Linked DNA regions of Arabidopsis thaliana. The protein of the gene in region 4 interacts with the protein of the main gene of each other region in a pairwise test. Each region holds a gene or a part of one and is shown on either strand. Other genes may lie near its edges. The genes, in order: APL, NAI1, MYB62 and AT4G29930.

The links.
Region 1: the proteins of AT4G29930 (region 4) and APL interact in a two-hybrid assay, tested with the Arabidopsis thaliana proteins (one large-scale study listed by BioGRID).
Region 2: the proteins of AT4G29930 (region 4) and NAI1 interact in a two-hybrid assay, tested with the Arabidopsis thaliana proteins (one large-scale study listed by BioGRID).
Region 3: the proteins of AT4G29930 (region 4) and MYB62 interact in a two-hybrid assay, tested with the Arabidopsis thaliana proteins (one large-scale study listed by BioGRID).

The regions. Positions count from the first base shown.
Region 1 is NC_003070.9:29,875,028-29,883,327, reverse strand, and holds APL (Homeodomain-like superfamily protein), read left to right. Parts: upstream 1-4,048; 5' UTR 4,049-4,192; coding exon 4,193-4,367; exon of another isoform or gene 4,368-4,457; coding exon 4,458-4,534; intron 4,535-4,670; coding exon 4,671-4,737; intron 4,738-4,866; coding exon 4,867-4,933; intron 4,934-5,019; coding exon 5,020-5,062; intron 5,063-5,159; coding exon 5,160-5,807; 3' UTR 5,808-6,100; downstream 6,101-8,300. Other genes in the region: ALDH5F1 (aldehyde dehydrogenase 5F1), read left to right, coding at 53-138, 240-346, 419-496, 765-803. UniProt on the Arabidopsis thaliana protein: Transcription factor required for phloem identity. Has a dual role both in promoting phloem differentiation and in repressing xylem differentiation during vascular development. Regulates the expression of the transcription factor NAC045 (AC A4VCM0).
Region 2 is NC_003071.7:9,680,651-9,688,813, forward strand, and holds NAI1 (basic helix-loop-helix (bHLH) DNA-binding superfamily protein), read left to right. Parts: upstream 1-3,911; 5' UTR 3,912-4,207; coding exon 4,208-4,687; intron 4,688-5,074; coding exon 5,075-5,488; intron 5,489-5,602; coding exon 5,603-5,671; 3' UTR 5,672-5,963; downstream 5,964-8,163. UniProt on the Arabidopsis thaliana protein: Transcription activator that regulates the expression of at least NAI2, PYK10 and PBP1. Required for and mediates the formation of endoplasmic reticulum bodies (ER bodies).
Region 3 is NC_003070.9:25,600,538-25,608,189, forward strand, and holds MYB62 (myb domain protein 62), read left to right. Parts: upstream 1-3,138; 5' UTR 3,139-3,304; coding exon 3,305-3,458; intron 3,459-3,546; coding exon 3,547-3,676; intron 3,677-3,770; coding exon 3,771-4,347; 3' UTR 4,348-4,644; downstream 4,645-7,652. Other genes in the region: AE7 (MIP18 family protein (DUF59)), read left to right, coding at 25-124, 451-496, 605-702. UniProt on the Arabidopsis thaliana protein: Transcription repressor of phosphate (Pi) starvation-induced genes. Negatively regulates Pi starvation responses via the repression of gibberellic acid (GA) biosynthesis and signaling.
Region 4 is NC_003075.7:14,639,638-14,649,436, reverse strand, and holds AT4G29930 (basic helix-loop-helix (bHLH) DNA-binding superfamily protein), read right to left. Parts: upstream 5,444-9,799; 5' UTR 5,330-5,443; coding exon 5,250-5,329; intron 5,128-5,249; coding exon 4,962-5,127; intron 4,578-4,961; coding exon 4,320-4,577; coding exon of another isoform or gene 4,269-4,319; exon of another isoform or gene 4,220-4,268; coding exon 3,932-4,219; 3' UTR 2,078-3,931; downstream 1-2,077. Other genes in the region: PRHA (pathogenesis related homeodomain protein A), read left to right, coding at 122-202, 364-444, 602-682, 837-1,091.

The DNA.
Region 1 (8,300 bases), on a different chromosome or scaffold from region 4:
CATAGTGTTCCTCGCATTTTTGTGATCAGAAGAACTAATTTACTTTTTCTAGGGAGGAGATTTTTGGACCTGTAGCTCCCCTTATTCGGTTCAAAACCGAGGAGGACGCTATCAGAATTGCTAATGACACAATTGCAGGTTTGTCCTCATTTAATCTTGGTAACCTTTTTCTTTTACTTGTCGAGTCTTAGGCTAACATAATAAGTGGAAATGTGTCTTGTGTGTGTATGTGTGTGCAGGACTTGCTGCTTATATATTCACAAACAGTGTCCAAAGATCTTGGCGTGTATTTGAAGCACTTGAATATGGACTTGTAGGGGTGAACGAAGGACTCATATCAACAGAGGTAAGACCAGGGATGAAAGAACCACGTTCTCCTAATTATAGCCATACATATGCTTACATCTTTTGATTGCAGGTGGCTCCATTCGGGGGAGTGAAGCAGTCTGGTCTTGGAAGGGAAGGATCCAAGTATGGTATGGACGAATACCTTGAGGTAACTCACAACACTCATTTCTCTCTTATTGAACTCGCTTCAGTTGATAGGTCTTATATAATATTAGAAATCTACGTAATAAAGTCTGCAAGGTTATAGCCTTATAGGTGGTTAGTTTTACATTTTCCTGTCATGCGATTGCTCCCAAACTCCAACTATAACACAGAGACTATCGATGCGAATCTGTCTTTTGAATTGTTTATAAGCATAAAGTTTTGCAAATTACTACTTTTCATTTATTGATTCTGGGCTCTTGGCTTTGACGCAGATCAAATACGTATGCTTGGGAGATATGAATAGACACTGATTTGGTTTGTTTGAAAAGCTTTAGAAATTGTAAGTTTTTCTCCTCCACTCGTATCCTTCTAATAAAAGCTTACTGTGGAACATAATAAGGATTCGGAGGATACTTCTTAAGAAATAAAGATTTGGTCTACGACCAATTGTTAGCATGATTTTTAAGTAATAATTTGGGGTTTCCATTTTATTTATCTTTGTTTACGTTATTTTTTTCTTTGTTTTACGTTAATTTTTGTAATTCGGACAATTTTTGCTTTGGATATACCCAAAAAAATAAAAAAATAAACGTTGTTGTTCTTTGCTTCATTTATCAGCAATTTTTAGAAATCGATTGGGTTTATTTTTCTTTTTTCATCAGTATCTTGTCATTACTATTTATAAACGCTTTATGTCTCATGTGACAATGTTTTGGAGGATTATGACTTATTAACAGTCGATCGATTTATCGAATTTAGTGTTATATATTAAAATATTAATTATTCAAAAAAATTGGATCAGTTATGTTTCAAAATAGCGTTAGATTACATGGCTCTATGCCAAAGTTGGGATTTTATTTTTGTTTGTAGTTTTTTTAAGTGGGGAAAAGATAAGAAGGTTAGAAGGAATATATTCATTTCGGAGAAGAAATCCCAAAGCACCATCACAAAAAGATGCTTGAAGTTCAAGCAACTGTGGCCTCTATTTTTTTATAAGCCGACTTACTTTATTGTCACTAATTTCATTTCTTTCTTTCTTTAAGCTCTTAGTTTGCTTCAACAACAATTAGCTAAAAGTTAAACATTAGCTTTACTTGGTTTAACTAAAAACAAAAACTTTGGTTTCTTTTTTTCAAAGCAAAATACAATTTAGCTTAAAATCATTATTGAAAACATTAATAAAGAAAGATGAGAACTTAAATGATTTTAGGGCGGATGATTTGCTAATGCTAATATGCATCATATCACTATGAATCAATTTTGTAGATAATAGTGATGATGATTGTGAAAACACAAATATCGTGATAATATAAGTAGGAATAATATATGTGTGTATCTATACTCAAAAAGTGGTAAGAAAAAATAAAAAGTCTAGTAAACTATGTAAATGTGGCTGGCCAAGTTTATACGGTTGGCATCTATCGCGGGAGTTGTATTTTCATTTTTTAATATTGTTGGCGCAATAAGAATCTATCTTTATTCATCAAAGAGGAGAAGAATCGATTCCAATTCTCATGCAATTTGAACTTTGATTTAATATTTAAATTCAAAAGTTATAACCATTTTCTTATTTTATCTTGGTCAGAATTGTGTGCGGTAATTGATTAATTTAATTTATTGTACAAATAATTCGTTTCACAGCCAAGATTTTTAACATTTCTGGCAAAGAAAAACACTGTTTTTTTATTTATTCCAAGAAATTAATATCTGAAAAATGTGTTACCATGTATAGCTGCACAATCGTCAGTCCTACAAAAGCCAAAAAAGGTTATAGCCCCAGCAAGCTTTAACCAATAAATTAAAATGGAGAAAAGAAGAAAAACATATGGTAAAAATAAAAAGAATAAAAGAGCTTTAATAAGTAGAAGAAGAGGTCCCCAACGTTAACTCTATCTTTACACATTGATGCATAATTCTCCACATATTAATAGTCCGTGTTTATAATATGTATAACTTTAAAAAATTGTTCCATATTCTTATGTTAATTTTTTTGTTTTAATTCAATATTCATTGACTGGTATTGGTCTACATTTTAACATGTACATGCTTTCCCTTAATTAATACTTAATATATAACCTCTAATAAATTTCTGATTCAATTCAAATTTTATTCTTAGATAATATTCTCTCTTTTTTGTGTGTGCATATCAGCCTCAGCCATATTCATTGACTTATTCTTGTTCTATGTAAATATGCTATGGGACCTCCCACTCATATATATTTAGGTTGACCATTTATTTTACATGCATGCAATTGAATTTAGGGGTTAATCTAAATCGTTGCGTATATGAATTATATATGATTTTAGTTTGTATATTGAAAAATGCATCGTCGTTCTATACATAAGCTAGTTTAGTAGCTAATAGGGCAATATTAACAAAGTTGATTTTCTGGTTTGTAGTGTCCATACAAGTAATTTAGTTAATTATCTCGTTTGTTCACCTTTTTGTTTCTTTTTTCTTTTGCTAGCTAGTTAATTGCGGATGTAAACTACATCTTTTACTAATCGATGAATGGAAAACGTTTTTGTCGTAGACAAATATTCCACCGTACCTAACGGTTTTGGATTGCATGTATATAATAAATTTGTTCCAAAAATATACGGTCTATTAATTTATAACGAAGCTCATCATTGCTTAGAATTGTATATTCACCTCATAATTAGCCAAAAAGGTTTACCCTACCATAAATGATAAAATCCCTAGCCTTGTGGAATTTGTTTCGTTAAGATATTTGTATGTATGCCTCCAATTACGATATATGACGATGTAGACAAACTATAAGTCTAGTATACGACTCTCCTCGTGCGGTCTTAATTGAATAGAATACATAGAACTTTAATATATTCACTTTAAAAGTTTATATTTTCCTATAAAGAAAATATTTACAAATCTTTGATTACTATTTACTCCAAATCAAGCATGATTAAGAAAATAGTATATAGAACAATTGTATGATAAATTTGGATTTAAAAATTACTTCTAAATTATAAGGTAGTAAAGAAAAAGAAACCAAAAATATAAGAATAATAGATGTGCAATATCTTTGATTCAGGTGAATTATATTTTAACTTAGATATCTCAAGTCATTTTAATGTTTATATCAGGAAATAAAGAAATAAAAACCATCATGCAACAAATCATGCATATATATTAGATACATCCGTAACCGCTTTTTTTCGTCTTTTTTTTTTGTTTTTTTCGTCGTCACATCCATAACCGTTTTGATATGAGATCTCCGATGTTCAAAATTCAATTTCCCCCAAAGATATCAATTTAATATCTAATATATACTATTATTTTAAGTTTGCGCAGTAATTTAATAATCTGAGACAGACATGATTTACTTAATGTATACGTATAGTGGCTTTTACACACATTTTATATTGAAAGAAATTCAAAGGTATTCAAGCTAAGAGGATAAAAAACACAAATGAAAAAGATAGCGACAGTATCTTTTCACAAAGGAACGTCTGTGTACTAGTCTGAAACTTTAGTTCTCTTCCTTACTAACGATAAAACATATTTAACTAAACCATAATTTATTTACAAACAAAACAAAAAAGACGAGAGAGAGAAAAAAAAGCCGTCATCTGATCTCTTCAAAAACGCATCGTATTCTCTCACATTTTTGCATCACATTCGTTTCTTGAATCCCCTCTTTCAGAGAGAGAAAGAGAGTCAGAGAGAGAGAGAGAGAGAATGTTCCATGCTAAGAAACCTTCAAGTATGAATGGTTCATATGAGAACAGAGCTATGTGCGTTCAAGGCGATTCAGGCCTTGTCCTCACCACCGACCCTAAACCGCGTTTGCGTTGGACCGTCGAACTCCACGAGCGTTTTGTGGACGCCGTCGCTCAGCTCGGCGGCCCCGACAGTATGAACACACATACACAAATATATATTCAATCCATTTAACCAATTATAAATGTGTTTTTTCAAAGTTTTTGATCATTTCTATTTGCAGAAGCGACCCCAAAGACGATTATGAGAGTTATGGGTGTGAAGGGTCTTACTCTTTACCACCTAAAGAGCCATCTTCAGGTATGTACACAAATATAGATTAGGGTTTTTTTCTTCCTTGCTTTTAATTTTCTCTCCTCTTTATCTTTTCTATTCTTTTTTTCACTTAATAATATAATATAATAATCTAACAACTTATTTGGATCTATGGGTGCAGAAATTCAGGCTTGGAAAGCAGCCGCACAAGGAGTACGGAGATCACTCCACAAAGGAAGGTTCAAGAGGTGACCACTCTTCCTTTCTCTATCAAATTAGGGTTTTTATAAAAAAGTTACCCATAATATAGATATGTATTAATGTATATATATGTTCTTTGATCCGTCTTCTTCTAATTTTTTTTACCGTACGTGTAGCTTCTGCCATGGATATTCAGCGCAACGTAGCTTCTTCTTCTGGCATGATGAGTCGCAACATGAATGAGTAATATTTTAATCAGATTTCGTTAATTTTCTCAACTTTCATTTTAATATATATTACAGCAACTCACACCAGGTTGGTTTGATCAGGATGCAAATGGAAGTGCAGAGAAGGTTGCATGAACAGCTAGAGGTAATTAATTAACCTATAGATATTCTATGATAACTGCTTGTACAAAATCAATTTGTATCCCATAAATATAGTAAATGATTTCATTCAATTTTTATAGGTGCAAAGACATCTGCAACTGAGGATTGAAGCACAAGGAAAGTACATGCAATCTATCTTGGAGAGAGCTTGCCAAACCCTAGCCGGTGAGAACATGGCAGCCGCCACCGCAGCAGCCGCCGTCGGAGGAGGATACAAGGGTAATCTGGGAAGTTCGAGTCTTTCAGCAGCGGTGGGCCCACCTCCTCATCCTCTTAGTTTCCCGCCGTTTCAAGACCTAAACATCTATGGAAACACAACCGACCAAGTCCTCGACCATCACAACTTCCATCATCAAAACATAGAGAACCATTTCACGGGTAACAATGCTGCAGACACCAACATTTACTTGGGGAAGAAGCGACCTAATCCTAATTTTGGTAACGATGTAAGGAAAGGACTATTGATGTGGTCTGATCAAGATCACGATCTTTCCGCAAACCAATCGATCGATGATGAGCATAGAATTCAGATACAGATGGCTACACATGTCTCCACGGATTTGGATTCTTTGTCGGAGATCTACGAAAGGAAATCAGGTTTATCAGGTGATGAAGGGAATAATGGTGGGAAATTACTGGAAAGGCCATCGCCTAGGAGATCACCATTGAGTCCTATGATGAACCCTAATGGTGGATTAATACAAGGAAGAAACTCGCCATTTGGGTGATACAATTTATTAATTTTTATCTATGAGTGATGCATGGGAATGTAAGAACGAGATATATATGTTTTGTCATTGTGAGTTTGACGTAGGGTTTAGAGATGAGACAAAACAAAACAAAACAAAAAAAAATAAAAAATATATAAGCTTTGTTATGTTTACCGGATTAGTTTTGCTCGTGTTTTATAATCTGTACGGAAACTATATATTATTGCTGTTCTTATAATATTTTAGGATCTATATATTTTGTACTTATTCGTTACTTATTTCTTCTAGTCAACTGTTTGATGATTGATCTTTACATTGTTAGTCTCAGTAGAATTGCCGAATATATGTTTTGTTATTCTTTTATCACCCACATAAAATCTGTAGTTGCCTTTTATGGTTAACTAGCTATTTTCATATTCTATGTTTGATAGCTTTTTTTAATGGCAATTTCAAATAAATTAAGTTTAATTTCTTACATCCGCAATTTTATTTCATATGTACATACTTGTACGATTTTCATATTTGACAGTTTGCCAATTAGAGGCATATAAAATGTGAATGTACTAAAGTATATCTAGTACATGTATATGATAAATCAGTACATATGTATATTACCTTAACCAGTATATATATCCCATGCATGAACGTAACTGTATATATGACAAATAATAAACATTTATGTGTTAAGAGCTAGGTTGCTCATGTTTCAAGGCATGTACGATATTTTAAAGCTTTTGAAGGGCCCTTTGCTTTTTCATGAGTTAGTTATTTCTATCTCAAGTTAGTTTGTACTTGATGCCTTATATATGATTACGCTAAAATGGGATATCTGCATCGGGAAACTAAATTTTCAATCAAACTTAAAAATAAAGTTTATGGTAAAAAAAAATCATAAGTAAATACGAAAAAGAAAGGACAGCGCAAGTGATAATGATGATGATGATCCCCATCAAAGCAAAAGGTTTTTAGGGTTTTGGGAAAACCACATGCAAACACCAAGAAAAGCTGTAAACTTTGATTCAAATGTATATATAGTCACTTGATTTTGTAGGATACTACTATGTATATGTGTATGCAGTTGTACGCATATGTAAGTAAGTGTGTATGTAGAGATTGATAGCTACAAGATCCTTTTCAAAAGAAATAAAAGAACTTGTCATAAGAGAAATTAACCGACACTGAGTATCTATCTTTCCTTCCGTATATATCTTTGTTCTTTATTCTTTTATTTCTTTTCTGCTTCATATGACCACTAATTAGGACATATATTTATACAAAAGAAAATTATTACACTGATCATTCTTAATTGAATTTCAGGAGCTTAGTTATAGATCTTACAAACATCGGGAAAAAATGTTTGTAATTCAGAATTTTTGCTCTGCTATGATTTTTACTTACTCGATGCATCCATTTAGTCACAACTACAAATTACGGCTCATATATGTATATGTTTATATAAATTATTACTGATCAACTTTGTTGGGTTCAGAGAGAGAAAATATAAAGATCTGGTCATCACTGCAAGTTGGCAAGTAAAAGAGAAAGCTCTCTCAGTCTCTCTCACTCTCTCTAAAAGCTGAGGAAAACAAAAGGCAAAAAGAGAATTGAAGAAGAAGAAGGAGAAGCATAGAGATATTAACGCACTCCCATGTATGCACTTCTCGAGGAAGCTTCTCTTCTCCTTTTACATACGCCCCCACTAATTCCCTCTAATTACGTTCCTCGGTTTTTTTCCTTCTATTTAATTAATTGGATTTGAAGACAAAAAAGAGTAGACGACCATGTAATAATAATTAAAAACAAAAAAAAATAAATCAGATAAATTTCTTTTATTTATTTATTATTATAAAAATACTATATAAATTATAACTAAAAATAATTATTATTTGGGGATACATTTGAAATATCATATACTTTATCAATAAATTAGTTATGGTACAATAATCAATTTAATTGTGAAGATGCATTATATACAAAGTGGATCCGACGAAATGACGATGATGCATGTTTTGTGAATATTCATTTCACAATAAAATCACACCAACCACAAGTTAATTATTATAACTATTCGGTGCTTTTTAATATATATCCATCTGAACATCTCATTCTGTTACTTTTTTTTTTCGCATTCACATGCATAAACGTGCATGTGATCGTAGCTTTACTTGTATATCATAATTTTAAATAGGCTAATAGTAAAGCTAATGTTTGTACACATATCATATGGTAATTATTATGGTTGTTAAGCAAACTAAAGTACTTATAATAAACAAATAAAGTAATAAAGGTAACGGTCTTGGATGGTCTATGCACATTCTTCCATACAAATCCTCTGTAGGCACCTCATTACGATCTCGACCTTGGATTCCATTTTCTACTCCCTTACTTCTTCTGTTTTCCAAAAAAAAAAAAAAAAGAAGAAGAAGAAGATAATATACTTCTTTTTGATATTCTATATTTTTCAAAATGATACTTTATTTTTGGTATGTGTTGATGTAGAATGCTCTCTTA
Region 2 (8,163 bases), on a different chromosome or scaffold from region 4:
GAGCATGTGTGCCATAATATGCTTGATTAATGATAGTTTTCCCTGATTCACCTTAATTATATTGTCTAATTTGCTATTATAGTATCATTCAGAGCATGCAGATGAAAAAACTAAATTCGGTGGGAAAAGAAGAAGTCAATTTCACGGGACACTAGTTTGTAATCAAAATTGTTATATTTAATGAAAAAAACACTCTCGGGACGATTTAACTCTAAAGTCTCTAACCACTGCAGTTGAAAGTTTATCAAAAGCGTGGCCATATGTATACATGAGAAATCACGTGTTTGCTCTATTACGTAGTCAACATCACCTTTAAATATCATTGTTATTGATAACTTAAGGAATTAATCAATCGTCGTTCAAACATTGCATTATGTAAGTAAATGCATTTGTAACCATTCATCTACATTTTAAAAGCGTTTTTTTTTTTTTGTCGAAATACATTTTAAAAGCGTTAAGACTTGAGAGAGTAGTCTTAATCAATTGTTAGGTATAAATTTTTTTCCAGAATTGATAACGAACATCCATAATACAAAAAAAAAATTAGAAATTCGGATTTTCCTTATTAGAAATATTTACTAACGAACATTCATAAAACCATAACCACAGTTTTAAACTTGTGGAGATGATTTTTGTTTTTTTCATGTATATAGAAAAATTATTTGAAGGTTCAGTTTTTTAACAACATAAATTATAAACAAAAAAAAAAGTCCAGATGGTGATAGCGTGGTATAATACTAGCATAACCACAACTTAGATTACAATCTACAAATCATGTTCAATCTGACGAGTTTCAAAAATACCCAAAAGTTTTTGTTGGAAACAAATTAAGAGTGAACTGAAAATCTTTCTTTGATAATGTGGAGTTTATGTACTCCATTAAATTATTCAAACGATCCTTGTAGTGAGAAGGTTCATTCGATATTTGTTTATCATCATAAATCTCCGCAATTAATATGTAGACAATAACAATAAATAAAATTTGTAAGGAGTAACATGGAGGGTGGAGATCATTAACTGATATAAACTATAAAGGCTTTAATAAAATGGATCTCAATCTTTTCCAGAAAGAATAGCATCTTAAAGGTGGATATATCATGAAATCATTTTTACTCAATTTTGTTATATATTATTCACGAACCATTTAAATTATTTGTATTAAATAATTCAGATAAAGAGTAAAGTAATGACATGTACGAGTACTACTAATTAATCTGGTGTTTGCCTGTTTGTATATTCGTACAGATCTCAAATTGTTATTTCTTTTTTGAATTATAATTAATCAAGACGTATAACTAATACTCTCTCTGTTCATCTTAATATGCATTGCAATATGGTGCTTACACAAAAAAAAAAAAAGCATTGCAATATGGGAAAAAATTATTTATTATCCACATAAACACTGTTGGTGATAAATATTTGTTATGTATAGTAACATTGTATGCTTGAGGTACACTGAACCACATTTTTTTCAATTCACCAATTAATGATGTGAATAAAGACATCAAGACAAAAAGAAAAAAAAAACAGAAAAAAAGACATCAAGACTTCATTGAGCCCGTAACCAAAATTATCAAAACAATTATTATCCCTTCATATATGGATGTAAGTTGTATGGAAAATGATTACATTCACAACAAATGTGTTTTTTGTTTTGTTTTTTGGCAATGCATATTGTAAATTTAATTACGAATGGCATGACACATGGATGATATTTAAACAAACCACTATATCACATATGTTGTCGCTATAAAAAATATTTATTATTGGGTTAATCGATCCCAGGTCCTAGAATTAGTTTTGATCTCTTTGCTATATATAAGAACAATCGGTATATTATAATAAGAATGCATTGACCTAAAAAATACTATTAATAATAATATTAATGCAATAATGAGGCAAAACAATTAATCACACATGATTCACGAGGATAGGAAAATGGTTCCAGAGACAACTTCACAAAGAGTGATTATTATGGTATTTATTGTATTTTAATTATTAAAAAAAAAGGAAATTAACAGCAAAATCTATATTGTAAACTCACTTTACGTAGAAAAACTTCTTCGATATAATATTATGGCTTTGATTGGTAGGTTATGAGGACGTGGAAAACATAGATTAAAAGGCAATTCTAAAAAAGACCACTAAAATGATTTTGTTCGGAAAATACCATTTAGTATTTTTGATTATTTTTTTCAAAAATACTACTAAAAGATTTTTTCCTAAATACCACAAAACTAAAACTAAATATAAAATTTTCAGAATTAAATCCTAAATCCTGAAAAATAACCTTTAAAATTAAACCCTAATCCCAAAATACTAAATTCAAACCCAAAATTTTAAATTTTAAACCCCTAAAAATCATTTTTAGTGTTTGTGTTATTCTTACTAACCGCAATCCGTCTCATAACCAGTTAAGCATATAGGATATTTTACAAATTCCTATGCAATGTGAAATATAGTTGACTATTTGTATTCTGGAATCTTTTATATCATGGTTGAATTTTTAAATTAATTAGTAAAAAATAATTCTTAAAAGTGTTTTTTGGAAAAATATTGATTTTGCTAAAGTTTTTTGGAACAATCATGAATCTGCGCTGCTGTATTAATAACTTAATTAGTAATTCTATACACAAACTCAATTATAGATCTTCGATTCACAAAGAAGCACGGAAATTAAGATTGTGTATAGAACTAATCTTAATTTCATAAGTAACTAATTTATAATTAAGTTATAATTTATTCACAATCTCAATTATAAATTTGACTCAATTATAACTTAAATATTTCACCATTTATTTAATCACAGTTAATTATTATTTTTTAATTTGTCCAGACAGATTCAACGGGAGCCTCGTATTATTGCATAAACAAGTAGGAGTTATATAAACATAGTATTTTTCAACCTCTACTGGCTTTAGAATATAAATATCCAATTATCATCTATATGATAAGCGTAAAATCTATTCTACGTCACGAAGGATTGGATTTTATTGGAGTTTTCTTATAATAAAACTAATGATTTTGGACATTGATAAGCAAATTCGGATCTGTAGTGGGACCAAGTTACTTGCAATAACACGTGGGGAGTTGAGTTCAAATCTTTATATGTTGATCATTTGATGTGTTGGCACGATCAGTGGTTTTGTTTTATTTTTTGAACAAGCATCATCAGTGTTTAAAATAGTGAACATGATAACTTACTTATATCATTAGGGGTAAATATTAGCTATCAACTATCAAGTACGAGCTAATCATAAAATGATATATGAACTTTAGACCCATAATATGATATCTTCAAGACTACTTAAAACCTCAATTTTCTGAAATATACTATGCAAATACCCAAAACACTTAAACTAACAGAGCATTTACATATCCTCTTTTGCATCTGCATTTTTTTTTTTTTTTCTAATTTTGAGCATCGAAAGATCTTCGAAAATAACTTTTTATGCTCCTAACGATCGATTTTGACAATTTTCTTCGTGGTCTATTTAAATACTGCACAAACTATCACAATTTTGTCTAATAAAAAAACTTACAATATTTATCATTGTTTTCTTCCAGTTTATCCATATGTCATATGCTTTATCTACATTTAATCTAATTCGTCCACGTGATGGGCTGTGGTTTTTTTTTTTCTTACCTAAAGTCATAGACTCACAAATCTATATTTCTATCAAGATGGATACATTTATGGTACGAATCACATGATTTTGATCTTTAATTAAAGTCTTGTTAGTTTTCCAATGCCAGATCTCATCGCATCGGTGGCTACTCAAATCCCCACCTATTAATACCAATTTCAACCAAAACAATTCCCACATTTAATTATTTTCAGGACCTTTAATTTACTAAAATTTATTATTGCTAAACCTACCGGATCGGGTAAACGGATATGCGATTCGTCAGCCAAATTCATATAACAATTATAAACCATATGCTCTTTTTCCATGCAGATATTAATTGTATACTGCAAAATAATGATTATAAAAAACAAAATCATATAGATCCACTATAAAGAGTTCACTCGACCACATTCACATAACAAAACAAAATCATACATACTCCAGAACAAAGGAAAATTTAAAATATATCTCCTTATATACTCCTAAAGTTTTCTTTCCTTTAGCTTCTTGTTTAGTTTTATTCTTTCAACATTAACTTTTTTTTACTCTCTTGTCAAAAGAGAAAAAGAGTTCTTGTAATGGATGATTCAAGCTTTATGGATTTGATGATCGACACTGACGAGTATCTGATCGATGACTGGGAATCCGATTTCCCGATATGCGGGGAAACTAACACCAACCCCGGTTCCGAGTCTGGATCTGGAACCGGGTTTGAGTTGCTAGCAGAAAGACCAACGAAGCAAATGAAAACCAACAACAACATGAATTCAACATCTTCTTCTCCGTCGTCTTCTTCTTCTTCTGGTTCTCGCACGTCACAAGTGATCTCATTTGGGTCTCCAGACACGAAAACCAACCCGGTCGAGACATCTTTGAACTTCTCCAACCAAGTAAGCATGGATCAGAAAGTGGGGTCGAAAAGAAAAGATTGTGTTAACAATGGAGGAAGAAGAGAACCACATCTATTGAAAGAACATGTTTTGGCTGAACGAAAACGTCGACAAAAGCTCAACGAGCGTTTGATTGCTCTCTCTGCTCTTCTTCCTGGCCTCAAAAAGGTCAACATCTATAAACCATCTCTTTCTGATTGTACTTTAACTATTTGTGTTTGGTTTAATATTTATTATATAGTATATTCTTTTATAAATAACCCACCAGAACCGTAAATATATATTCGGAAAAAGAAACTCATTTTTCTTTAAATGTAAATGTAAACTCCAACCTCAACAAACATAAGAAAATCTTGTTCTTATTTACATTTTGAAAATGAAAATCTGTTTTTTTTCTTAAACGTTTTTTTTCTCGTAAAAATCGTGTTTAATATGATAGGCTTGTAATTTGTTTGTATGTGGATGCCACTACTCATAAAATCCGGATGGTGACACAATGTTCTCTAGTAAATATTGTACTAAATGTTTTTTTTTTTTTTGTGTGTGTGTGTGTAGACGGACAAGGCAACAGTTCTTGAAGATGCCATCAAACATTTGAAACAACTTCAAGAGCGGGTAAAGAAGCTGGAGGAGGAGCGAGTGGTGACCAAGAAAATGGATCAATCAATTATATTGGTGAAGAGATCTCAAGTGTATTTAGATGATGATTCTTCATCTTATTCTTCTACTTGCTCTGCTGCGTCTCCTCTGTCTTCTTCTTCGGACGAAGTTTCGATCTTCAAACAAACAATGCCTATGATCGAAGCCCGAGTTTCAGACAGAGATTTGTTGATTAGAGTCCATTGTGAGAAGAACAAAGGGTGTATGATTAAGATCTTAAGTTCCTTGGAGAAGTTTCGTCTTGAAGTAGTCAATAGCTTCACTTTACCATTTGGAAATTCAACTCTCGTTATAACCATTCTCACTAAGGTATGTTATCAATCTTCTAATATTTTTTTATTTATCATATTCTATCTTTTTTTATATATTATCATTTACTGTTGATTTTTATGTATTAATGTGATTTTTAAATCTAATTTGCAGATGGACAACAAATTTTCTCGACCAGTTGAAGAAGTGGTGAAGAACATAAGAGTTGCGTTAGCTGAATAATATTTTAAAAAACGTTTATGTGAATTTCGCAGTGGTTAAACGTGTTAGATTTGGTCTCCAATTTTGACCAGATCACTCGGTTTAGTTGAATAATGAGTAGTTGGATAATAAAACCAGATATATGCACGAAATATGGGATTTTGTCGTTTGTTGAGTGCAAAAGCTGGATTGGTGTGTGTACCTAATTATGGCTGTATCATTGGTTTTGATACTTTGATATATATTTTTCCCCAATATCATTGGGTTGGTTCAATAATGAAGTACCTAAGTGTTCATTAATTTTATTGGCTTCATGTTAATTACTTTTTGATTATACTTAATCTGTAAATCTTTAACTGAGAACGAGAAATCTATGCTAACTATATTGGGACTTCATGCTGCTATAAACAAATTTCATTAGAAATTCTTTTTGTGTTCTTATAAAAGTTTTGAGTTCAGTTGACCTCTATGGGCTCTTATAAATTTTTATTTACTTGTATTTTGAAATAAAAATGGTTACTATAGTTACAAATTTGCTTATTGATCTCAGTGTTCAAGATTTATATTATAAATTGTGAGATATGATTTTCTCCCATTCCCATTTTGATTGGTCGACCAAATGCCTTGTTTTTAAAGGTTATGTAAGTATTACTTAACAATATTTTCGTCCTAAATCTTCCACTTTTTTTTCAACTACACATTGATTAGAGATTCATTTTTTGATTGGTAGCCCAATCAAAAAGAGAAGAGTTTACATAAGAATTATCAGAACTTAAAGATTTAGAAGTCTTAGCTAAATAATCAATTTGAAAATTACAAGAGCGAGGAATATTAGAAAACGAGAAAAAAAAACTTAACTTGGAGCGAACCAAACTCATCTAGGATTTTGAAAAAGCGGGACATTTCTGATGAGATTGCAATATAGAGAAAGTAATTCTACACAATCTATTTCGAAAACATGACAATTTACATTTTTTGAGAGAATATTCTTAATACAATCCTCCATTTCTTTTTACAATGAAAAATTGAATCATTGCTTATTTTCAACATTAATCACACATTAATTTTAATCTTATTATTTTATTTTATACTTATCTTCTATATCAATCTTTAGTATTGATAAATTTTATTAATTGAAATTTATTTTTTATTTTTAAATTTTATATACCTTTTCACATTGTAAACAGTGCTTAATTAATCAACGAATGAGCTGTTAAAAGAAAATGATAAACAAGATTATTTTAAAATAGATTTAATACTTTAAGAAATATATGTCTAGTATTTTCAAATATTTAAACCAAATTTTCTTTCACTAAACAAATTTTTTTATAAGACCTACAAATGGTATCTATTTTGTATACAAAATAGACACAATTGTGACCCCACTAAGAAATAGACATATAGAAAAGTTAATACTTGTAGAATAGTTTGTCTTTTTGCTATAAAAATATTAAAATACAATAGCGACCCCTTTAAAAACAGTGGTTAGAGGAGGCACTAGTTGTAGTTATAAATTTTGAAACAATTTATTGTGTCTTGCGAGTGGGCTAAAAATTAAAATTCCCCCATTAGACAGTGATAGGAAAAATATTTAAGACATAAGTTGACTAACAATAAATGTCATTTAAAGAAAAAATAATGGGTGGGGAAATCGTTAATTTTTAATCAACAAAATTGTAGTGATCTTACTTCCATCGGGGATTCTTCTAGAAATATACTGAGAAATGTTGACAGGAAACAAATTGAGTGTAACGCTCCGACCATCACCGTATGTGGTCTTCTATACTATTTCTCAGTTCGTAGACTTCAACATCGTCTGATAACAATTTTAAAAAGTTGTTTATTGTCTAAATATGTATCAGAAATTACTTCTAAGCAAGTCACTCATTCTAAAAGTGCTCCAGCTCAAATACGTTTAATTATAGAGTTTTAACACGATGTTTAACCCCAAAAATAATTAAGTGTAGTTTAGTAACATTGATAAATAAAATAATTCTTTTAATCTTTCTTTATGTACAACCATATTTCTAAAATTAGGGATGTTACATTTAGGTTTCTTTTTTTCCTTGCTAGAATGTAATAATCCATAATAATAATAATGATTTAGATTCTAATCTTTCAATTATAATATATACAAGTGGTCCCATGGTAAAAAGAAAAAACATGGAAGCATAAATCATAAAAGCAATTTCAGTCCACTACTCAATATTAACACAAAGGCTAATGAATTTAGACAAAGTGATGACGATATCATATTTAATTTCCAAATCCATTGTTCGAAATGAGAGTGCGAAAGCTAAGTGGAAAAAGCCAAAATTACCAAAACTCTTAGCACTAGAAACCTTTCACTGGAGGCCCAAGATTGAGCCGTCAACTTCACATTTACGTTCATCTTGACATTTTAAAACGGCTGTCAATTTCCATCACGAAAAAAGTGTGTATATGTGTATTGAAGTCTCACTTCGAGTATGTTTTTTTTGTTGTTATGTGATTCTATCGAGTTAGTATTGTTT
Region 3 (7,652 bases), on a different chromosome or scaffold from region 4:
TTGAGCTCTACCATTTCTTTTCAGGGTTACGTTCACTCCAACTGTCGAACATTGTAGCATGGCAACCGTTATCGGTCTTTGTGTCCGTGTGAAACTTCTACGAAGCCTTCCTTCTCGATACAAGGTACAAAGCTTTCTTGTTATTTCATTTCTAAGATTTTCCGGTTCCCTTTTCCTGTAAGTTTGTCAAGATGATCTTCTGAGCCCATTTTCTGATTTATACATTATCGAGAGTGGTTTGAACGTAACTGAGATCCAACACATGTTCTCCTTGTGATGATATATGAGGCAGAGAAATTTTTTAATTTTTCATTCTTAATCAACTGTTCTTGATACTTGCGAAGAGAAGATAGCCCTAGCCTCTACTATATATAGTTAGGACTGCCTTAAAACACACTCGCACAATGTTTTATGTGCCTCAGTCCTCTGAAACGAATCTTCATTTTTCAGATTGATATAAGGGTAGCACCTGGTTCTCATGCAACAGAAGATGCATGTATGTCATTTTTCAATATCTATCCATCTTTTTTGGTATGCATGTTTTGCTTTACATCGAGTGTACTTCTTTAACATGATGTCTGGTTTCTTGGTGTTTAAAATGCAGTGAATAAACAACTAAACGATAAAGAACGTGTGGCGGCTGCACTAGAGAATCCAAACCTCGTGGAGATGGTTGATGAATGCCTGCCATCAGAAGAGTGAATTGCTTTTATTTTCTTGTGAGCAAGTAATTTACACAAGCCTGGTGGTCTCAGTTTACACTATCAATACATGTCTCTGTTTTATTTGCAAAGATTTTGATCCATCACATCGACTAGGACTTGCATTGTAATACTTACTCTGATTTCAAGTTTGTTCTCAATCATTTCAATAAAGTCTCAAACACAAGTTCTTTTTAATAAAAGTTGACGTGTCATTTCGATTTCAAAGTACATATACATCAATCAAGTTGGGAACTTCACATCTCTCTCTCTCTTAATGCATTATTACAAAGTCAGCAAATTGTTTATGAAGCAAAAAGCTGTTTTCTTCTTCTTCTTCTTAGATGTATTGATATATGAAAAAGGAAACAACGATAATGAGATGGATATTTTTGGAAAGGATATGTAAACTTGAAACACACACTTTCTTTTTGTGTCCCAACTTATCTTTAGGTTTTCGATTATCCAGAGTATATGATGTTTATTGTTTCGTTGTATAATGTATGGGACTCGAATCATACTTTAACAAGAATCTTGTATATAGCAACTTGGTCTCAAGATCAACCTAGTTGCATAACTTGTAACCCTCCGATAGAATCTTGCAATCATATATATCTTGTAGATGTTGACGAACTCGAGAATCGGGTAACAATCAATCATCTTCTTTTGTAGTCTCGTGATTTGATTATTGTCGTCGTTAATTGTTATGCTATAAGTAGAGTTTAAATTTGAAAATATGCGTATGTGAGTTGTAGACGACAAAAAATATTTAAATTTGTTTACGTTAGTCCAATTATATGGATAATATTTGAAGGAAATGAATGTAACTGTAATTCTATAGAACAAAAATGACTGTTACTAATAACATAGTAACAATTATGTCATTGTTGATTATATAATAAGAGAGGATAATGAAGACACAAATGTCAAATCGACTTTGTTTTCTTTATTCCTGGTCTTTAGGCTTTATTTACATGTTGTTTTGGTTTTTGGGAGTTATCATCTTCAAAAGATTGGGTTGAACAGTAAGTGAGAGTTATTAGCAATACCATAAGTTTTAATACATGCACATAGACATTTTTTGACTTGCCGGTGTAAAGCGACACGACCCTTCCTTATTTTTCCAAAATTATTATTTGTTTAACAAAATATTATACAATACGATTTGAGCTAATGAAAACTAATATAGGAAGAAGAATCTTTGAATATTCAAAGTTTGAAAGGATAATATGCTATACTAAGTCCGCATAAATTAGCTGGCTTCTAGAAAATTGTTGTTAAAAATAGCTGTCTTCTAGTTTTACCATTTACATAAAAGTTACAAGAATTTATATCATTCATTACACCATATGTAATATATGGATATGAATTCGGATGATGCCACATCGACCACAATAGCTCAAAGCTACTAAACAAAAAGTCTTGACTCTTGATCAAACATTTGGAGTGTTTATTCCAATTTTTGGATTGTTTTGGTACAATTTTTATTTAATCAATAATTTGTGGGACAGTGGTTTATTAGGTTTTGTAATATCTTGTTTGTCTCGAGTCAAGACACATGTATCATGTATGCTTCTTGTTCCCATACCAATAATTATGTTAAACTATGTTCAATCTCAATATTCAGCAACATTACCAAATAGAAAACCAAAATTTTTATAAAAACTGTTAGCCAAAGTTGGGATAAAGACAATTTTAGAAGTAGAAGAAAGAAAAATGACTAGTATACACTATCACAGAGGTAAGAGTTAAAAATGAACTCTATAGCATATTATGAATATGACTATTGTAAACTTTTCCTGTATAGTTAATTTAGTATTTAAGAATCTAAATCGTACTTTCTTCTTCCAAAATTCTGTTCCATATTCTTTTCACGTGAACATCTAATCCATAGAGTTAAATCACCAAAATTCCATTTCTGTTTCATCGTCGCATAAAAAAGTTTATGAAACTGTATCGATATATTCTATGCTTCTAATGAATTATATACTTGGACCAGGGTTCATCGCAGGATTCGACTAATCCAAAACTTTTTTTTTTAAGAAAGTCATATTTAACTGAAACAAAAACCAGATGATTTAAAAAAAAAATGTTTGCATATATCATATATGTGTTGGCTTTTGAACAATGGTAGCTCGAAAAATAATTTCAGAAAAATTGCATGCGTAAGATGAAAACAGAGACGCGATTAAGAAAATGTCAATGAGATATTTTGTGATAACAAATACTAATGAGTTAAAACATGTTTTTTGACAATTTTAGAATGTATAAATGTCCTTGGCAATGTTAAAAAAATAACAATATTTTGTATGAGTTAAAAAGAGAAGCTAATTTAGTAAAACAATTTACTTTAATTTGGAAACGTGTGATAATTAATTTTTCATTGGAAAAAAGCAAGCTGATGGCTAAAGTAACAACATTTTCCAATACCACGACCACGAGTCTATAAATTCCCAAGAACCTGTTGAATCACTTTCACTTCTCAAAGCACCTAAAAGTCTATCTCTCTCTCTCTGTATACAGTCATGCATGCATAGAGCTTAAAAGATACGAAAACACCACAAACCAAATATCATTAAGTAATTAGGAAACTTAAACTAAGTATGGAAAATTCGATGAAGAAGAAGAAGAGCTTCAAAGAAAGTGAAGATGAAGAACTAAGAAGAGGGCCTTGGACTTTGGAGGAAGACACACTTCTCACAAATTACATCCTCCATAACGGTGAGGGTCGTTGGAATCACGTCGCCAAATGTGCTGGTAATTAATCAAGAACTTGATATTGGTTTATTAGTTAGATTCTCTGACTTTACTATATAATCACTATCTTTAACAAAAATGAGAACAGGGCTAAAGAGAACTGGGAAAAGTTGTAGATTGAGATGGTTGAATTACTTGAAACCCGACATAAGACGAGGGAATCTTACTCCTCAAGAACAGCTTTTGATCCTTGAGCTTCACTCTAAATGGGGTAATAGGTGAGTGATGAGTCACTTTCATATCTCAAGAGTCTTTTATTTTCTTTTTTTGTTTTTTTTTTCTTTTTTCCTAAACGAATATTTGTTATCTAAGGTGGTCCAAGATTGCACAGTACTTGCCAGGAAGAACGGATAACGAGATCAAGAACTATTGGAGAACAAGAGTTCAAAAACAAGCTCGTCAACTCAACATCGAATCTAACAGCGACAAGTTCTTTGACGCTGTTCGTAGTTTTTGGGTCCCTAGATTGATCGAGAAGATGGAACAAAACTCATCCACTACTACTACTTATTGTTGTCCCCAAAACAACAACAACAACTCTCTTCTTCTTCCTTCTCAATCTCACGACTCTTTAAGTATGCAAAAAGATATAGATTACTCGGGTTTCAGCAACATAGACGGTTCTTCTTCAACTTCTACTTGCATGTCTCATCTAACAACAGTTCCACACTTTATGGATCAAAGCAACACCAATATCATCGATGGCTCGATGTGTTTCCATGAAGGCAATGTTCAAGAATTCGGAGGATATGTTCCTGGCATGGAGGATTACATGGTAAACTCGGACATCTCAATGGAATGTCACGTGGCGGATGGTTATTCAGCGTACGAGGATGTTACACAAGATCCCATGTGGAATGTGGATGACATTTGGCAGTTTAGGGAGTAATTAAGTCGTCAAGAGATGAGATGGTAGAGCCTACCACTACGGTTCTATTATATGGACTAATATACTTCTTTTGCTTAACTAAGCAAAAAGTTTCGAACCTTTTACCCATATTATCTCGGGTTGGAGACTAGAACATGTTAAATTTGTATCTTCTTTGTTGCGAGTACTTACTAAGTCATTGGATAAATATTTATAATGATAGTTTCTTGTACAAGTCTTTGAATTCATGAAATCTTTTATCAATGTATGGAATTTTATGAAGTTTTAAACTTTAATCATATTCTTTTCGGATTGGAATTGAAACATGTTAAATTAGTCTAAATTTTTCCTCTTAGTTGGTGATCAAAGTCAATGTTTGGATAATTATTTATAATGCTTGTTTGTTTGTTATATAAGTCTTTAAATTCAAGAAATCTTGTATCAGTGTATGGAACTTCAATTTATGAACTAACCAGGTCAATTTTATACATGACTAGACTTAAGAGTAAATAGTAAAGGGTAGTCTCTTGTCTTGAAATCTTTGAGACTTGTGTGGATTTTAGTGAGAAGAAAACATATCTAATCTCACCTCAACAGGTGAAATAACCCAAAAGCTAGGAGAGTCGATCTATCCAAGATATTAAAATGATGGGGATAGAGACTCAACCATCTGTCCCTTCACCAAATTTGATGTGTTTCTTTGTAAGATCGTTGACAATATTACAGGGCATTTGGCTTGATTGACATAAATCGTTTTTTTGTGGAATTAACGAATCATAAATAATAATAAAAGAATTGATTACATAGTTGAATGCTCTTACATAAAGTTTTAATATATACGCATTTAGACAAACCATACAAAAGTTTTAATATATGCGCATTTTGTATACCAGCAGTAATCAATGTTGGTTCAAGAAGATAATAGAGACAAAGGACCCATCAATTATTTATTATAATTATCTGAAAAGAGCTTCAACTAAAATGATAGAGAAAGGTGGCTTTGGAGAAGTCTTGTTAATGGGATCGAATTATTGGAGGTCACTTCAAAAGCCTTTCATAAGTACATGGAAACTCCACAATGATTTGAACCCAAAGGGTACCACTAAAAGTTGGAACAAACATTGATGCACTTTTGAGAGGTTATGAACGATAGATCACACTCATTGTGTATGTAAAGATTTTAGTATTTCAGACAATATACAAAAAAAAAAAAAAAAAAAATTCCTTATGATCGAATCCAGAAACGTAGATGGTCCTGCTATGGACGTGGAATTATAAAATTGTATAACTTAAAGATTAAATATCTAAAACTGGTGGATAAACGCCAAATACTTTTAGAAAAGACATGAGTAACGTGGACCCAATTTGAATAGAAACATTACTGTATAGGTCAAATATTCATTAATTACGGATATATGTTAGTTGCAAAAAAATTTCAAATTTTGTAAGAACATAATCCACGCGGCCAAATCATTTGCATCTTCAAAATTCATTTCCAATGACAATGATCTATATATTGTGGAATTTTAATTGCATAAAATCATATATATTTTGAAAAATGTTTTTAGTCAAGTAGTTAAGTGTCTATTTTTGCGGTTTTCTCCAGTTACCCTTACCCACACAAAATAAAAAGTGGGCTATCGATCGGACCTTCTCGACTGATATGGTATTAGAGTGAAACCAAAAAAAATCATATTTTCCCAACTTAACAAGCACATTTATTTTAATCACTGTAATCGAAATTCTCATGTTCAAAAAATTTTTGGGAAACAAATAAAGTGAAGTCATGTTTGGTCTACATATCACCAAGCTTAATCTTTATATTGTCTGAATAGTTTATATATCTGCGGATTGGTCGACCATACAACCAGGCAGATAGTGAGACCAAACCTTGATCTTAAAATAGGCAAGTTCAATTTAAAGTGTCGTAGAACTGTATGGCTTGTTAAGGTCGAGATGGGCCAAACTAACATTTCTACTGCAATACTCATTTATCAAAAATTTGGAGATACGCAGAAATATCAAAAGTTATGAACCGAAATCGATAGTTCCATCGGTTGAACCCGAAAAGAACATCAGGGAGAAAAAGACCAAATATTTCAGTTCACACAAAATATATTAACGTACAATGTTCTAATCTTTAGTTTGGAGAAATATGTCTTTTAAATTACTTTTTGGTTAAGAAATACTACAAACCAAAAAAAAAAAAAAAAAAAAAAAAAAAGTCTTACTACAAATAATGGGGAAGTAGAGTGGGTGGCACTGGTATATTAACGTTGGTATGGTTAGGTAGGCCGTAGGTTAGTATGAAAGACTAGAGAAAGTCAAAAGTCAAGATTATTGTTTAAGAAGAGGCACCAACTTAAGAACACCAGCTGGTTTAGTTCATGAAACAAGACATTTTACAACAAAAGTTATGACCATCTCGTAAAGTAAACAGTGTTGTTTTGGCACCAAATCTTACAACCACACGTTACACGTATTACGCATATATATATATATGCTCATTTTCTTGTTCCGTGTTTCCGAGTTCATCTTGTTCACATTGTTCAAACAGATTATATCTTCACTTCCATAACTATTATAGTCAAACCTAAGACATGAATAGATTGTCATGTTTCGGTGAATAGTGAACCAACCTCGTATCTCACATGTCGACTGTGTAGAGAGCATAGAAACAATGAACCATCCCAATTTAAGAAAAATAAAAAAAGGAATTGAAGGATAAGTGAGGCCATATGCACTCTGCACTAATACACATGTAGAGAGCATAGAATCAAGTATAGTGAAAGAGTACGATAACGTCAGCAGCATTATCCTTAAATCCCAAAGGCAAAGGGCACCTTATTCCTTCCTAAATCGAGTAATATTTCCATGTGGTTCTATGGTTCTTTAAAGAATATTCATACACGATAAAATCCACATTCGTCGAACCAATTATTAAACTTTTGAGCAATGTAGAGGTAGAAAATAAGATTGAATGATGTCGACGGAGGTAAAAAGAAGAATGAAAAAAGCTAGATAGCGCATAATACAACAATCTCTTTCAAGTTTTTTGACTAAATCAAAATCACATGCGTGAAAAGACTAAACTCTCTTTAGTCTCTTACCACAAAGCTTTCGGCCACTTTGTAGGACAGTAAGTATCAACATCACACTATAGCACATAGAGAAAGAGTCTTCCAATGGTTATGGTTCGTATGTTGAACGAGCTAAAATTTTTGACCAAAGACTTTCAAGATGATGAACATATAAAAACAAAGGCAAGAAAAGTTGTTGCATTCCGTGCATATCAAGCCAATTTATTATATAACTATTACACTATT
Region 4 (9,799 bases):
GAGTTTCTAGAACATATCCATTAATAAAAAACCATGATTAAGTACTGCTTCCATGAACTTGGCTGACCAGTTGTTTTAAACAATTTTAGATTTTCAAAGTTACTTTTCTTTTTGTGTTCAGCCACATGAAGAGCTAAGCAGTGAAATGAGCCTAAAGACGGCTGCTGAGGAGAAGGAGACAGAGAGCAAGATGATAGAAGAGGTAAGATACAAATGAGCCGTTTCGCCAAATGAGTTCATTGAACATATCTATTACTAAAAACCATGATTAAGTACTGCTTCCATGAACTTGCCTTGAGCTCTTGACCAGTGGTTTTAAACAGTTTTAAATTTTTTAAATAATTTTTTTCTTATTGTGTTCAGCCACATGAAGAGCTAAGCAGAGAAATGAGCTTAAAGACGGCTGTAGAGGAGAAGGAGACAGAGAGCAAGATGATGGAAGAGGTAAGATATGAATTAGCCGATTTGCCAAAATAAGTTGATAGAACATATATATCTGATATTTAACAACCATGGTTAAGTACTGCTTCCATGAACTTGCCTTGACCAGTGATTCTAAACAATTTCAGATTTTAAAAGTTATTTTTCTTATTATGTTCAGCCACATGATGAGCTAAACAGCGAAATGAGCTTAAGTACAGCGGTAGAGGAGAAGGAGACAGGGAGCAAGATGACGGAAGAGGTAAAATGAAATTAGCTGGTTCGCCAAAATGAGTTTATTGAACATATCTATATTAAAGAAACCATGATCAAGTATCGCTTCCATGAATTTGGTTTGACAAGTGGTTTTAGACAATTGTAGATTTTTAAAGTTTATTTGTTCTTATTGTGTTCAGTCACATGAAGAGCTAAGCAACGAAATGAGCTTAGAAGAGAAGGAGACGGGGAGAAAGATGACGGAAGAGGAAGAATTGGAAGCAGTAATGGAGATGCTTTGTAGAACAGAAAACAAGTTACTGGACGTGACGCAGAGGCTTGATAGATTTAAAACACCAAAAGGCCGAAAAAAGTTAGGCAATTCTTCTTCTCCTTTACTTGAAGAAGACTCAGTAGTGTATGTTCCAATAGCAGAGATCAAGGAGAAAAGGTAACAATATATATATATATATCAAGAAAAGAAAAAAGTCCTTTGCAGAAGTTTTGGTATTGTTAGATTCTTTTGGAACGTAGTCTAAGAGAGTACCTAATGTAGTTTTGTGTATTATTCAGTTTGTATGTGTCATTTAAACTTCAGATAAAATCCCCCAGAAAAAAATAAAACTGGGATTTTTTTTTTAATGGAACTTTTTAGCTCTCTTTTTTGAATTATGTACATTTCGTTTTTTATTCTCTTTTTTTTTTTAATTCCCTTTTTCCAAATAACTTTGGCTTTTAATTTTAGTTTAAAAAATAATAAAGCTGAAAGATTTAGGTTCTTACAGATAGAGTAAGATTGGCAACTATATTTTTAGTTTCAACCAAGTAATAATCATAGAAAGATGATGGTTATAGAGAAAGCTTTTAGACCGAGTGTATATAGCGGTAAGAATAAATTGTTTACAAATCTGCAATTATCTGAACATAACTCCTTAACAAAGCCTACTGTCACTTTTATGAGTTTACTAAACATTTGTTGCCTAACTTTACAGATCAAATTGAAACAAATGGCAAGTCTCTCTATTTTGCAACTTACAATATGCATTTGATTCATGTTCATCAATTCAAAGACAAAGTATCCACAAAATCTTTTATAAAGTCATATTTGCTTTTTTAGTTTAACCATATTTCTTTATGTTTTTTTCTTCTTATACTCGGTTATGATTGCAATTAATTCAAATGATTTTTTTAGAAGTATAATTTTTAAGATTATAAGAAGGAACATGCATATTTTTGTTTTATTTTATTAGAAAACATCGGATGTTTTGTAGCTCAAACAAATAAACCCTCACAATAGTAGCTCTTCACATATATTGCATAAAACGGATTTAAGTAAAAAACCAGAAGTAAATTAGAAGTTGATAAGACAATTTGGATCATTATAAGCTGCGATGGCCATCTGTATCTTGGCCTCTACTGCACTGCTTTCTTCTTCATCCGCCTGCAAATTCAACGATTTACTATAATTAATACATCTATCACAATATAAACTAAAACAGTCCTATATTATTTCAATCATACGATATCTTTACAGAATTTTGAAGTAAATTAGGATTCTAGGAAGTCCAACGTCAGTATAGATTATTAAAATTAGGGGTGTTTAGGTTTTACACGAATCAGACAAAAAAAACTTCTTTTTTTTTGGCAGCACGTAAAAAGAAAATTAGAACTGATAAATTTGTGTATATACACCTGCACGCATTACTACTATAATTATTTCCCGTGGAAAATGAGATTGGTGGATAAATCATTGTTTAATGTTTTTGTATAATCTTTAAAAGGACGGATAAGGACAGGTTTGAAATGAAATGATCGACTTTTTATTTGATAAATGATTGGAGTATGATTTCACCAACTCTCAATGACTCCACTGGTCTATACCTCACTGTAATTTTAGCGTCTGATTATATTATCTTTTATCAAGAAAATGTTATAAAGGTGCATAATTCTTTTTTGTCAAAGAAAACCAACATAATATTATATTCATTTGTGAGGCAAGAAATACTCGTATTTGTTGTCATCAAAAATTTCCAACCTACAGCTTATAATATAATTACCTTTTTCAAAAAAAATAGAACGTTAGTTCACGAAACTAGCATTTTTGTAATTAGATTGTTTACACCAAAGTCCTAGTATATGATGATGATAAACAAATCAAATAGATAGAGATAATGAAATGAATTTGTATTTTTTAGAGTAAAAACACAAAATAATAACTCTTAACAAATCTGCTTATATTAAAAAGGACCAAACCTTAATTTCTACCATGAACTGCTATGGATATCATTTGGAGTAACTAATTTTTACCAAAATGATTAGCATAATGAAGACCTTATGAACCATATACAACTAGTTAACACAAATAACTTGCTAATTGGCTACAGTTGATTTGTAGCCTATTGTTAATTTGAGTTAAGAATTGATATAAGGTGTAGTGCTAGAAAAGTCACGTGCTAAAAGTGTGAAAGAGACAAACGTTGAACCGCGTGAGGTTATAAATTAGCCACGTTTTTCTAGTGCTACTATGCTTGGACGGCACTTTCTGGGACACGAGGCACTTGAGATTTCACACACTAATTTTTTGATTAAGTTAATCCTAATTTTTTATGGAATATGACATTTAACTTTTGAGAGAATCTAACCCTATCAGAAAAAGTCAAGGCGAAATTCGAAAAAAATGTGATGGGCTCGAGGCAACCTCAATAATTGGAGCTTTAATTGATTGATTAAGATATTACTGACTATATATACTTAAGGTGTAATGTGAATTAAGGTCCACTTAATGGAGACAGGTGGGAGAAAAGTAGTAATTAAATGGGTCCGTCTAAAGGTTATCCTTTTGAATTTGATAGTGATTTTCCAAACAATTCGTAAGTTTGAATTACATTTTTGTACTATTACGTAAAGATAACATATTTTCTTTACCAAAACAAAAGAACAATCCACTTTACTAAAGCACTTAGTCATATGCTTTTTATTCATATTATTAATTCTTGTCCACTAAAGGATTTGTCTACGTGCCGTCAGACGACCATTTTTCTCCCAAAATAACCAAAAAGAAAAGAAAATAGTAAGATTTGAATTTGGTATATAAAAGTCTGAATAGTTGCGACAAATTAAAAATGGACAAATATATTTGGTTGGTGTGTTTTATAGTCCGACAAGTGCATAAAACTAATTTTATAGCTGATTACAATTGATCTAACATTCTTTATTAGCAAGAATCTTCTAAACTATATTATCATCTCTTTCCATTAACATTTTATAATTTCGCTCCATGAGTGCAAAATGAGCGTCAAACCAAAACAAGACACGTACAGTATTCTCTAGATGCATTTAGAATTTTGTAGTTTGTACTAGTAATCACATTGCCAAATAAAGATATGAGAGAGGGAGAGAGGGAGAGAGTGACCTGGAGGAAGAGGGTGGTGGAGAGACGAGAGGTGAAGGAAGAGAAGTTAGTAGTGAGAATGTTGAGATTCAAAGACTCCAACACTTTACAAAGCTGCACCATTGTCTCTCTTTTCTTGCTACATGTTATGCATACCACTACCGTCTTCTCTCCCATCCATGTCACTTTCATCTGTTTTTTCATGTTTATATAAAAACAATTTGGAATAATTAACTTTACCTCAAAAGAAAGGTAATTTAGAATGTACTGCCAAATAATGCATAGTACGTACTTCGAGAACTTCAATGGGGTAGTGTTGTACTCTAGTACTGTAATCCATCTGCTTAAACTTTTTTGATCTCATGTCATTATTGTCTGAGAAATCTTGCAGATGAGTTTCCGCAAAATTGCAATCGTAATCTCTTACCGGATTTTCTAGCAATGTTGACCGTGATTCTAGCTCTCTGATCTCTGCTTCTAGAGTCTTCTCTTGATCAATAAGTTCTTGCATATAGTCGATAGAATCTTTGATGACAGATGCCTTGTCCAACTAAAAATAGATAAATATTAATACTTCAATAAAATCCAGTCTTAATCAACAAATCATCACACGTATACAATTATATGCTATCAGGGTAATTAGGGGACCAAAATACATTTTAGTATGGCTTGATATGGATTTAGAGTATCAAAAATTTGGTTTGCTTATTTGTTTAATGTTGGTTGGATTTGGTTTAACCAGATTGTATTTGTATAGTTTTATTTCTTTACAAAAGAAAGAAGAGAAAGTTTATTCGCTTATTTAATTTCTGTTGACCAAAACAAAAATTGCTGGTGACGAAACTTTATTACTAAATTATTTGGATAACAAATTAAATTTAAAAGAGACAGTTGATTAAACAAATAAGAGAAGTAATGGAATAATTAATCATACCTTGCTTATATTGGGAACAACTGACCGGAGAGCAAAAAGTCTCTGATTAAGCTTTTGCCGTCTGTTTCTCTCGGAGACAACGTTCTTCGAAGAAGCCGGCGACGTTGCCGCTCCGTCTGGCGAACTCGACTCGCCGGAACCCGAAAACGCTTCCTCCATCGGCCAACTTAAATTTTATAATTTATAACAATTTTCATTAATTACCAACTAAAGCAAGATTAATCTTTATCGGAAAAAAAAACTAAAGAAACAAAAAAAAAAAAAATGGACCAAGATTCTAGTAAGCACCTGTCAAATTCGAGTTCTTGATTCTGGAAGAACATTGTGGTTTCCCAGTAATTCTTGTACTCATGGTCGAGATCTTCCATTTTTCGGACACACAAAGATGATGCTTTCTTGAAATGGAAGGTTTTGTTATTTCTGTTTGTCCTTTCTTTCTTTCTTTGTGTCTTTCTATTGAGTGTACTATCAAAACAAGAGTGGGCCGAGGATTTTATACATAAAGAGTCTGACAGAGAGTTTTTAAGCACGTGGGATCTTAATCTCCTGAAATAATTATATACGATCTTGACCGTTCAATTCAGAGATCAAAATCTGTTTCCTTTTGTCCAATTGAAAAACAAAGAAAAGAGTGTATCGTATCTATCTCTTTCACTCACAATATGCATTATTCATATACTCAAATGGGTATAGACCGTATAGTACTTGAATTTAGGGCGTGTTCAATTCCAATTTCATTTTATTTTTGTGAGGTACTAGAAGAGTATCTGAGTATAAATGCAAAATTCTGTTCTTGTAGATATTAATCATTTGTTTTTCTTCTAATTTCGATCCTTAAAGTTAGAAGATGATGTCTAAGTAAGGAAAGAAGATACGTACTAGGTTTTTTTTAAACAAAAATAAAAGATACGTAGTTTCAGAATTCAAAGATTTAAACATAGGTAGACATCGTGGCTATGTGTATGCGTACGTAATGATTATGGCCAATAATGGTGATGATTAGTTGATTGTCAACTTTTTTTGCTAAATTTTATTGAAAATATAACCCACTTGGGTCCAGGATATTCTTTCATGTCCCTTGATTTGAATGCAGTAAATCTATGTTTTCTTCTATTATTTGTGGATATATATTTTCTTCTGATTTTTGAGTGTCTATATATTTATAAAATTCCATCTTCTTTAGATACTGTTATGAAATAAGTTGAGATATATGATTTTAACAAAGTAAGCTATAACCACGGACTTATCTAGCAATATTAAACACAAAATGTGACTGAAAAGCGAAATAATGTGGGGGTGATCCAAAATCTAAAGTATATAAAAATCAAATATCATAGACAGAAAATATTCATAGAATTAGATAATATAGCATATGCAATTTTATTCTACTGAATTGTAACTAAAGAAATATTGATTATTTAATGGTGTCAACTGAATTAAAAGTTGTGAAACGATTCGTAAAACTCTATTTATGATGGTGGAAATATTTTTTTCAATGGTTATGTATCATACATTTGAGTTCTCAGTTCTTTCAAGAATTTGTAAAACGTGGAAAGACATCAAGAAAACTGAAGACGGTCACTAAATCATACAACATACACATACTAAACAATACAACTAGTTCCACATTAATCCATTATACTCAAACTAAATCTAGTATCTATCTTATGAACTAAAAAAAAATCTAGTGTCTATCAATATGGAAAGGTTTTTACTTATATCGGCTTTGCTCCATACCCCGTGATTTTATTCAGAACTTTTAATCTGGATTAGAAATCCGAAAATACTGAGTTTGAGAAACAAATCGAAAAAAGTAAAAACTGTTTTCTCAAATCATTCGTCTCTCACTTACTAAACTCTTGAGAAAATGTGTAGGAAAAAGTTGTATTTTAATTGTATGAAATGAACAGTGTTTCGTTCCTTATGATATTGTTTTCACATTACTAAAGTCGTGGCTTGGATGGCCCAACATGATCTTGGTGATCAAAGATGATTATAATAAAATTATTTGCTAAATAAAATTATTTAACGTACTTATGTATGCTACCACGTGTATGGAGGATAGTGTATGATATGACTTGATATGGTTTTGGTTAAGAATTCATTAAAAGTCTTAATATTTAATTTATTTTGTATGCATAATCGTATTTCCTTTTGTTTATTAGGCTAATTAAAAGCTGTTCTATCTATAATCTTTGGAAGATTCATAAATTTTGATGACTCACCCACCTTGCAATTGCAAATGTATGGAATTGATTATATTGGGTCCAAATGACAACTAAACATTCCCAATATTGTCGGAGTCTAATTCTTTCGTTTCTTATTAAATATGAGGAAGTGTTTCTAGAAGAGTAAGAAGAAAATCGCAGTTCAATTTTGAAATCTACTTTTGTAGTAGAAAGCTGTATAAACAACATCCGTTCACGTTAGCTAGAATACGAAAAAATGTAACGAGTATTGAAACTCCGGTTCAATCTTACGTTACGATATCGGTTAACCAACTTCGACGACTTAAACCCATTCATCAAACAAAATGAACAAAATATGCCGATATGAGAGAAAGTAATTCGACTAAAATTCATTATTTATTTCAAAACATGCAAGAAACTTATTGGGCTGAAAAAACACATGTTGGGCTGAAGGCACGGATTGAACAGAGATATATTTTGAGTTCGGCCCAGACAAAGATGCTTAATGGTTTAGCCCGTTTGAATGTTCCAAAATTTAGTCTTGACTCTTCTTAAGTGTGTGAAGAAAAATGGTGTAAATTGTAATTTCAGTCATTTATGTAAAGTTTTGAAAATTTTCCATGTGGCCTTTTAAGTTTACAAATACAAAATAAATTTATTTAAAACTGGAAGCACGTTTAGATGAATATATAAATCAACAATAAACGAAAACGCAACATATACAAAAAAAAATAAAATAAAAAACAGCAAAGTAATTTACAACGTCCAAACAAAAATTACCAAAGAAAGTTTCCATAATTAATTACATAGAAGCTTTTTATTTTTGTTTCTTGTTCTATCTATCATAATATAACATGTAAATAATGAAGAAACTCCATCATAATATAGCGTCGTATCCTAACAAGAATTGAATAGCTACTGAAGAAATTCCATCATAACATAATATGTAAGTATTTTCTATGGCCAATCAAGTCTAGTCATAGGCTATAATTTTGGAGTAAAGTAACTATGATATTTTCTTTTTTTTTTGTCAAAGAACTATGATATTTATTTTCTTTCTAGTCGACAGTTAGGAATATAAAGAATCACTTGCGACGTATTGAGTTATTTATTTGTCTTGTGATGGAAGTAAAGAAACATTCGTTCAACAGTACCCAACAAAAGACAAATATAAAAGTGAATGACAATAAAATTTGTTAAAAAGAAAGAGCTTAATTATTCCTCTTTGACCGATCCTCTCCAATGATTTGTTCCGTTTTTCGTTTCCCTTTTTAATTTTCCTTTTTATATATAATTTTTTTATCAAACTATAGGCAGTTTGGTAACAACTAAATAAAATCATATTTTGGGCATTAATTTTTGTGCCAATCTTTGTTAAAAAGAAATTCGACTAGCAACTAATATTTACGTTTAAAAATATGTTAACCTCTTAGAGGTTTTAAAATATATATACATATTTGTTAACCTCATAGAAATTGGATTATTGTTTTCACTGTAAGCTTATCCTTCTGCAAAAAATCATTTATCACTAAGTATGAGACATAGATATACGGAGATACACATTACACAGCAAAGGTGACACTAATAAATAGATAATAAAGTTAATATTCCCAATATAAACAAAACTAAAGATACGTATATGATCTTTAGTTTTGGATACGACGCTAGATGATCAAAAGAATTTTATATGAAACCAAAGTTTCATCTTTTAAGTTATAAAAATAGTGAAAACTATCCATAAAAGATGTAAAAGGTGAAAAATGCTTTTTTGACTGCAATAGTTGAACATTGTACTACTACTACTTATCGTAATATCGTATAGCCACTTTAACCTAACTTTTTCATTTTCTTAAAAACATGATAAGTATATAACATGTAATAAAATGAAATATTCTCCTATGATTCTAAGTTATTTATTAGCTCTAATCTTTTACCTGTGAATTCATATAACATAACGAATAGAGATAAGAGAAGTATAACTGTCGACAACAAATAAAATAAAATATAATAACTTTATTAGATCATTAGGTAACAAAGCGGAATTAATAATCATAATTAATGCGTTGATTTAAATTTGCTGACGTGCCTGTTTCTGTGTAGACTTTGAGTATGCCCTTGATATTAGTAAAGTTGGATAATATAACCGGACCATTTACACCACGATGTGTAGCTAACCGGTCGAATAGGTTTTTAATCGACCAAATCAATGAATACGACGTACAGTTCGTATGTATAGACGTTTACAAAATATTGAAGAAATTAATCAATAGAGATTGAGTTAAGTCGTTTACATTTTATTTTATAACTATTTTCTTTGTTGTTGTCTATTTTATAACTATTTAAAATAATAATCATCATTCTTCCAAAATGTAGCATTTTACTTTGGTGAATTACTATAAAGTAAATAAAAACTTGTTCTGAAAGACTAATCAAATTCATGTATATATTTACAATATATCCAATCAAGCTAGCTAATTTTCTTTATCAGATACAGTAGCCCTAAAGTTATGAAGATATAATGATGGCACTAATTTTAATTTTACTTTTTTATTCGACTTTAACTACGATTTCTTTAATCTAACCTGGAGGTTATGGTTTAAGAAGAAAAAAAAGATAATCGATCTGATAAAAGTAACCCTAAGTTGTACC